2 linked regions of the Oryzias latipes genome follow. The protein of the gene in region 2 purifies or fractionates together with the protein of the main gene of each other region. This does not show direct contact. Links are inferred from orthologs where the notes say so. Each region holds a gene or a part of one and is shown on either strand. Other genes may lie near its edges.

Evidence for each region.
Region 1: the proteins of ctnna1 (region 2) and tes purify together in Homo sapiens (affinity purification with mass spectrometry; 3 studies listed by BioGRID and IntAct, with this or other methods). This does not show direct contact. The link is inferred for Oryzias latipes from reciprocal best matches to the Homo sapiens genes CTNNA1 and TES.

Annotation. Positions count from the first base shown.
Region 1 is NC_019864.2:2,898,554-2,902,378, reverse strand, and holds the end of tes (testin), read right to left. Parts: intron 2,132-3,825; coding exon 1,916-2,131; intron 1,838-1,915; coding exon 1,679-1,837; intron 1,025-1,678; coding exon 833-1,024; 3' UTR 126-832; downstream 1-125. UniProt on the Homo sapiens protein: Scaffold protein that may play a role in cell adhesion, cell spreading and in the reorganization of the actin cytoskeleton. Plays a role in the regulation of cell proliferation. May act as a tumor suppressor. Inhibits tumor cell growth.
Region 2 is NC_019868.2:19,932,463-19,936,287, reverse strand, and holds part of ctnna1 (catenin alpha-1), read right to left. Parts: intron 2,884-3,825; coding exon 2,727-2,883; intron 2,214-2,726; coding exon 2,013-2,213; intron 634-2,012; coding exon 485-633; intron 1-484. UniProt on the Homo sapiens protein: Associates with the cytoplasmic domain of a variety of cadherins. The association of catenins to cadherins produces a complex which is linked to the actin filament network, and which seems to be of primary importance for cadherins cell-adhesion properties.

The sequences.
Region 1 (3,825 bases), on a different chromosome or scaffold from region 2:
TATCTTAGAACTGTGCTAAAGCAGGTGCAAACTGCTAATAATTTGTAGTTATCTTTTTTACTCTTTTCTTAAAATCCAAAACACAAAACAAAAGGCATGAACAGAAGAGTCATGAGGCTTCCATCTTAGTTTGCAGAGTTTTCTTTATTCCCATGGAGACAAAAAGTCAAAGGTGAGTTCCATTAGACTTCTCTGCTTATCTGGAACGTTCCACTGAACGAATACAAGGAATTGGTTGAGTTACAAACATTTGAAAAGCCATTTACATGTCTGCCTTTTTTGTACTATTCATGACCTGGAAGCTTTTGTTCATAAAGCATCTACGTTTTCAGTCATATGTTCTTTAAGAAACTTGAAGGACTAAACCTCAGATCAGTAGCGCATTGAGCAGCGGAGAAACTATCCACTACAGCAGGAAACATCCGGTGAACAATGAAGCAGGTTTTTACACCTGGTCCCACAATCAGTGCAGAAAAGATCCAACTGGTTAACTAGTTTTCCATATGAAAAGTTCCTCAATTTAAAGACCTCATCATAAATTCCATATAAAAAAATCAGGTGGTGGTTTTGTGATTGGAGCGAACCCTGATGGATACTCCTCCAGTGTCTGTGTCATAAAGACGTTCCTAAAAAATAAACAGGAGGCGATTCTGGTGAGAATTTCCCAAAACTCCACTAAACAGACACAGGTTGAACCAAAAATTACACAAATGATGCAACAAAGAAGGAGGACGCCCCTTAAACCCCAATAGCAGTAGAACCTCTTCCTCAGTGTAGGTCTCATACAGTGAAAACCATCTTCTGGTCTGGTTTTTCTGGACGGTCTGGAGCTCTAGTTCAGGATTTTCTTCTTGCATTCCACAGAGCAGAAGACAAAACTCTGCACCACCATGAAGCGCTGGCCGATCAGACTCTTGCTGCAGCCAGAGCACTTGAAGCACCGCGGTTCTGCGTGCCAGTGGAGAGCATCGTAAGAAACTCTCTGAGCTTCAGGGTCCACTGCATTCTGGCAGGATGAGCATTTCTGTGCAGAGGAACGACAGGATCAGGTCAGATCAGATCCATGTTTATACTGGACTCTGTCAGAGACATTTAAATTGACATGAACATGTTCATAAAATCAGAAAGTGGAATTTAAAAGAAGTGTTGATGTTTATGAGAGTAGGTATGAAGGTTTTTGACTTTACTAAAGACTAAGACGGAAAAAACACAAAAAACATTCTAGAAACATCTTTCATGGAGTCTTTTCCTTAACCCTTTGACGTTCTTTAGAATATCCCAAAACTCTTTAACCATTGAAACAATTAATGTAATTCCAATTCCATCGCAGAGAAAAACAGCATTACGCCGTTATTCAAGACTTTGTTAGGAATGTGTGGCGTAATTTGCTCTGAATCGGCAGAAAGCCAATCTGAAAAGCTGCTTTTCATCGCATCAGAATCTGTTGATTCCTGTTGATCGCATATTTGATTGAAAAGTTGTCATGTGTCAAAGAGCAATACCCTAACCCCCCTTACATTATCTGAACAAGTCTTTATCAATGTGTTTTCCTTTATTCATTTACTGCATACAAAATACTAGACAACAAACCAAAAAATGAATAAATAAAATACGCAGAGAGAAGACAAATGTATGATCTTGAGAACAGCTTGTTCTCCAATCAGAGAAAGCGACTCACCACAGCGTAGTTCTTCATGTAGCAGGGCCTGCAGATGGGTTTGTCATTTTCCATCACATACGTTTCTCCAGCCAAGATGCAGTCACAGTCAAAGCAGCAGAAATGCTTCAGGTGCCAGTTCTGTCCCTCCGCTTGGGTGTACTCATTACTGAAGATCAGCTGGGAAAAGCGGGTACAAGAATGTTTCCTCATGTCATCCACTGTGCAGAGACATTCAAGAGGAGGTAAAGCCATTACCTCATCACAGCCGGCACAGCGGGGCTTCTCGCTGTCTCCATAATGGCGTCCACAGTACATGTTGCCTTTCTTCCAGAAGTAGATCATGTCCACAAGCAGTTCGTGGCAGGTACAGCACACAAAGCATGCGGGGTGCCACAGTTTGTCGTAGCCGGCCCGCTCGGCGTAGACGGCCGGCTCGCCCTGCTGCATGGGCTGCTTGCAATGATGGCATGACTGGGAAGGACATACGGGACAAGATGACTGCAGAATTCAGCTTTTCAAAGGAACTGTTCCTGTTTGGACTTGGTCTGCATGTTTTGATGCTTGTTGTCCATGAAATTCTAGTTTGGTTATTGTCTACTAGGGGTGTAGCGGTACACGTATTTGTACGGAACCGTTTCGGTACAGCAATTTCGGTTCAGTTCACTTTTGTAATGTTTCGGGGGTTTTTTTGGGGAGGAGGGGGGTTCCCTCCCCCCCAAAGGCATTAACTTTGCGCCGAGGCGAAACTAATGTTAACCGTGAGTTTCCACCGAGACGCCATGTTGTCTGTGCTGAAGCCGCTGCCCGCGCGTTTGCAGGAAGGGGGGCACCGCAAGAGGGTGTTGCTCAGTTCGACGGAACGGTAATAAAAACGGTTTCCTCCAAAAGAAAGGAGACTGGTTCTTTTATCAACCCGCTCTGGAGGCTCTGAGGGTCTGAACGGGGAAGCAAACCCAGAAGGAAGATCCGCCTTTGGCCCCGGAGAAGATCTCCCCTGCATTTTCGGACCAAGGTCAGAAACGTCATCGCAGTTCAGGTTCAACAGCTATTAGGTGATGGAGGTGACAGTGAGCATGTTATTAGTATCAGCATGGCTAATGCAGATGTGAGGACAGAACTTAAGGACCCCCCCCCATCTCCCTACTGTGTGGGAACACTGGATTTGTTGTCTGCCTGAAGGGGAAGAAAATTGGACAAGTCGAATTCTGTGTGTTACACGACATTGTTACATGAAGATAGCATATGCCACAGAAACACATCTGCTAACGCACCTAAAATCACTCAACTGTATTAATCAGGTCTACAAGCAAAAAAAATGTGCAAGTTAAAATGTTTTTTTTTCAGGCCAGTGTTAAGTATCCAAAGTTTTTGGTTCCTGACAGCCAATAGTTGTATTGTTTTATATAGCAGATCACCTACATAGGTCAACTGTATTTATTGTTATATAAAAGCAATAAATGCATTTTGCAAGAACATTTCTTCTGCCTTTTTGTACCAAAAAAATATTGAAAATGTACCGAACTGAGCCCTATGAAATCCTGACCCGAACAGAACTTAAATTTTAGCGTACCGTTACATCCCTTTTGTATACCATACTTTATGCACTTTAAGGTGCGTTTATATTTATAAGCCATGATTTTTTTTAAAAACTGACACTCTGCTTTATAATCTTGATTTTTTTAATGTATGGATTAAATCTTTTTGCGTTTTCTAATGTCAAAGCAATTTTACGGAAAAACAAGGCACTCTACTCTGCCTGTTGTTCCAAACAACTTTGGGTGTTAGTGTGAATACGCTAATGTGGCTAATGTGTAGCTGTGTCACATTGTGTGTTTTTCTGCAAGTTACTACCAAGGTTTGGAGTGGGTGTAGTCAAAGAAATGTTTGTTTTAGTGATATCAGTCTGTTTTTTTTTGTACCTGTTGGAAAGGTTGGGAGTTACAGGTAAATATGCCAACACGGCTAACCTTTCTATCATGTCTAAGGTGTAGCGTGTTACAAACAAGTTCTAGAGTTGCTGTGAACACAGTTAATAAAGACTGACAGACAGACCTATCTCTGACTCTTTTGTCTCATTAATGTACCTGATGCTACGTTCACTCCCAGGCATGTGAAACGGGTTCAAAAACGCACGTTTAGCATTTAGTGTTCAGTGGTCCACTACC
Region 2 (3,825 bases):
AGTCCGTTAACCCATTAAACACAAGTCTAAATGCATGCATAAGCTATCCAACAGAGACTTCACCATTATCCACTTCTGACTTTATAGCTGGGGAAGGTTTAGGTCAGTCAATAAAGTAATGGTTCAGTGGCTTCTATTAGCATGTCTAACTTATGGTTCTGCTCAGGCAATAAGCCATTGATCCAAAGACGACGCAGGCTGGTGTTACACTAAACTGCATGTTTATTCAGGCAGCACAGCTTTTTCCTTAGACATTTTAATCACAGGCTTTTAAAAGCCAACCATTCTTCCTAGTAAACAAAGCCTTGTGGAGAAGACCCTCTAATCCTAGATCATACTATAGTATTTAAAAGTTCCAGCAATTCTTTAAGATTGTGCAGCCGAGCAAAAATACTTTTTGAAATATTTATTTGAATGTTGATGAGTAAACCTTAAACATGAACATGTGTACACGCTGGGGATGATGAAAATCTGTAATACTTACTCTGATCATGAGGACTGCTTTGCGGATGTCGCGGATGCCGTCGTACACCAGACGGGATGCATCGATTAGTTCATTCTCATCCACTGAGGGGTCGCCACTGGATAAGGCCTCGACTGCAGCTTCTACCTGCAGTGTGAATCGTGGCATGACTGAAAGGAAAAATTAAAAGTGGAACAGATAATTGGAATTAAAAAAAAAAACCTTCATTCTACAAAGATAAGACATTGCTTCTGAGGTACATAGATACACAGCAGTTAAGTAGGGAGTTTTACAACAACAAGCTACAACAATAAAGCAGTCTCTTTGGGTGTGTATTTTGGCCCGGTGACAGTTTGATATCAGTTCTGGAAGCCTCTGCCACGCATTCAGCAATATTTAGAGTTCAGTTTTTAGGATTTAGCTGCATCCTCTTGGGTGAGGCCTGGATGTCAGGATGCAAATGTAGAGGGAGGGAGCGGCAGCGTAGAGCATAGTGCACAAAGAGGATTTGGTTTAGAGCTTACAAAGCATTTACAACCTGCAGGCTTCTGCATAGAAATGTAAATCAAGTAAAATATTGAAAGAAAGAAAAAGAAATATGGTAATCTGGCCATAACCAGATTTTGGCTGTGATCATTTTTCTAAGCTTATTTAAAAATAATCTTCCAAATTACTTCCCATTAACAAAAAAAGAAACCGGGAAGAAATTACATTCTAGTACAAAAATGCACCCAATAAAAGCATTTAACATAGTTTGGTTAAAAGGGAAAATAAAATGAAGCAAAAACATCAGCAGTTTGGACTGTCGTAGGACCTCTTCCTTCCAGAAAAGCAGCATTACCACGAGTTTGTCAAAATGACACACCATAGAAACAATAAATACTTTTGCTTTTGATAGTGATCTTGGAATCCAGCATCAGGATAGGAATTTCCTTTCAAATGTGCTCAAATCAGCATTCAGTAGAAATGGCACAGCGGAGCAGGAAAGAACTAGAATTTAGGGACAATCGTAAAATTAGGAATTTTTTTTAAAAGGCAACTTGAATTCGTGAAAATCCAAGCCTCAGCTGAAATCCTCAGATAACAATCAGCCTGCATTTGCTGACTGTTAATGGGCTCACTCTCAAGAGGGCTGAGCCATTTCTAAATCTGACAACCGAAAAAATCGTTCTGTCATGTTAGCCTGCTAGTAATGGAAGTTAACACATATCATACATGCTGGCTGGCTAATGAAATACCACATTATTTGGACAAAATGACTTCTATGATGCAAGTTGGGTTAAGATATTCAGTTCTATCTGGCAGCCTAATAGAAAATGCTGCAGATGTCTGACTCAGTCGACATTACAATGAAGAGTACTTCAGAAAGCAATTTTTATTTACTGAGCCAACTCCAGATCTGTCATTATTCAATTTCAACTCCCTCCAACATATTTTATCTTGGTTTTAAAAGGAAAAATATGTTGTAAAGAAAAAATGCTTAGAAAATGGGGCTGATGAAACTTTATGCTTTTCTTTTACAAACCCCATCAGATCATTTTTAAAATACCTGTGTTAGTAAGGAGCTTGGTGGCCTCCAAAACCTTCTCTGTGTAGACTCCAGGTTCGTAATTGTCCATTTCGGAAGTGACCACATGAACAACCCTGGCAGCACGTCCTCGAATGGCCCCAGCAGTGCGATCCAAGCCATCAACGTCCTTCTCTTGCAGAGCAATGACACACTTATTCACATCCTCCAAGATGTGGTTCTCTGAGAAGAAAGCGTAAAAAAAAACATTTTAGCATTATGAAAAACAACAACTGTGCCTTGTGCCATATGGGTGAAACACATTTAAAAACATAATGGAAGGGATATGTTCTCATTCTCTTGTTCTGACTAGACACTCAAAACCTAAAGAACCACAAGGAAGCATGGTCAAGAGGGAAATTCTCAGCTTTTTATAACGTAAATCCAACAAAATATGGAACTTTGCAGTACTCACAATCTGTCCTTGACAAAATGATCAAAAAGTCACTCTACTAAAATGTTTAATGAAAATCGTTTAAGGCAAACTAAGTAAAATATATTTGGTAAAGATGCAGATGTAAACGTTTACTCCAGCCAGTAAACAACTCTGGTAAAGGAATCACAACAAAGGCTAAGTGTAGTTTAACAGATAAATAAATGTTTAAAACTGTTTAAAAGTAAAAAATAGTTAGTTTTATTTAAATCAAAAAGAAAAAGTTAAACCAGATTTCCACTGTCCATATAAACAACTCTTACCAGACACACACAGGAAGTCATCAATGGATGTTATGTCATCAACAGCATCAGTGAGGACACGGACTTGTTTCTCCCACTGTTCCTTGAACAAATCCATGTTGTCCAGGCCCACCTTACTATTGGGTTTGGCAGCGAGGGCCAGTGCTGCATTGATCACCTAGAATTGAAAATTACCATCACTACAGATCAATTACAGTAAAGCTCTGAACACAGGTTAAGTGCAATAAGCGTCATCTCAGTTTACACAAGATTTTAATCTAGGGTCAAGATACTTCTCAAAAGGTCCGTCAAGTGTAGTTGTCAGCATACTGAACGGAGCTGCAATCATAGTACTCTGATAAAATGATGCATCAATAAAAGCTTAGTAGTTGTGGACACACAGGACTATACATTTAAAGTCATACGTCTCGTCTGTCAACAATGGACAAATACATGAGAGGTAGAGGGGAGTAAACAGCATACCCAAAATATTTGGACAACACAGTAATCTGATAAAGGTAAATTCAACAAAAATTAGAAAATAAGGTCTAAATGGTAATTATTGAATTTAGTATGGAGAACTGTGTACATGCGTAGTGGCCTGACTCAAACACTCTTTCCCCTGAAACATTAAATACAAAAGAAATAAAAAGTCATCTAACTGCACCAGCAGCCGTTGTGTTGGCCACACTAATGTGGGACCTGATACATCTGTAACACAACACCTTTCTGCTGTTCTCCATTTGTACTCCACAAAGAAAGAAACGACAATTGCTTCTGGTCTGGAACAACCAATGAATAAAGTCATTGGATAAGGAACATCAGATTTTACATTACTTGGAAAAAAGAATTTGCTACATTGGTTAATAATATTAAAATATTTAGTGCATAAAAACAGGCTCAGCGATATTTTTTAGTGCTTTTGAAGAAACTGTCTTTGATCAAGACAAAACCAATTAGTAAATGGTAAATGGCGTATGCTTATATAGCGCCTTTCTTCCTACAAGGACAAGGCGCTTTACAGTCACAGACCCATTCACCCAGTCACACACACATTCACACACTGGTGGCCGCTCCACTGCCAAACACAGGCGCCCGCCTACCACCAGAGGCAAGGTGG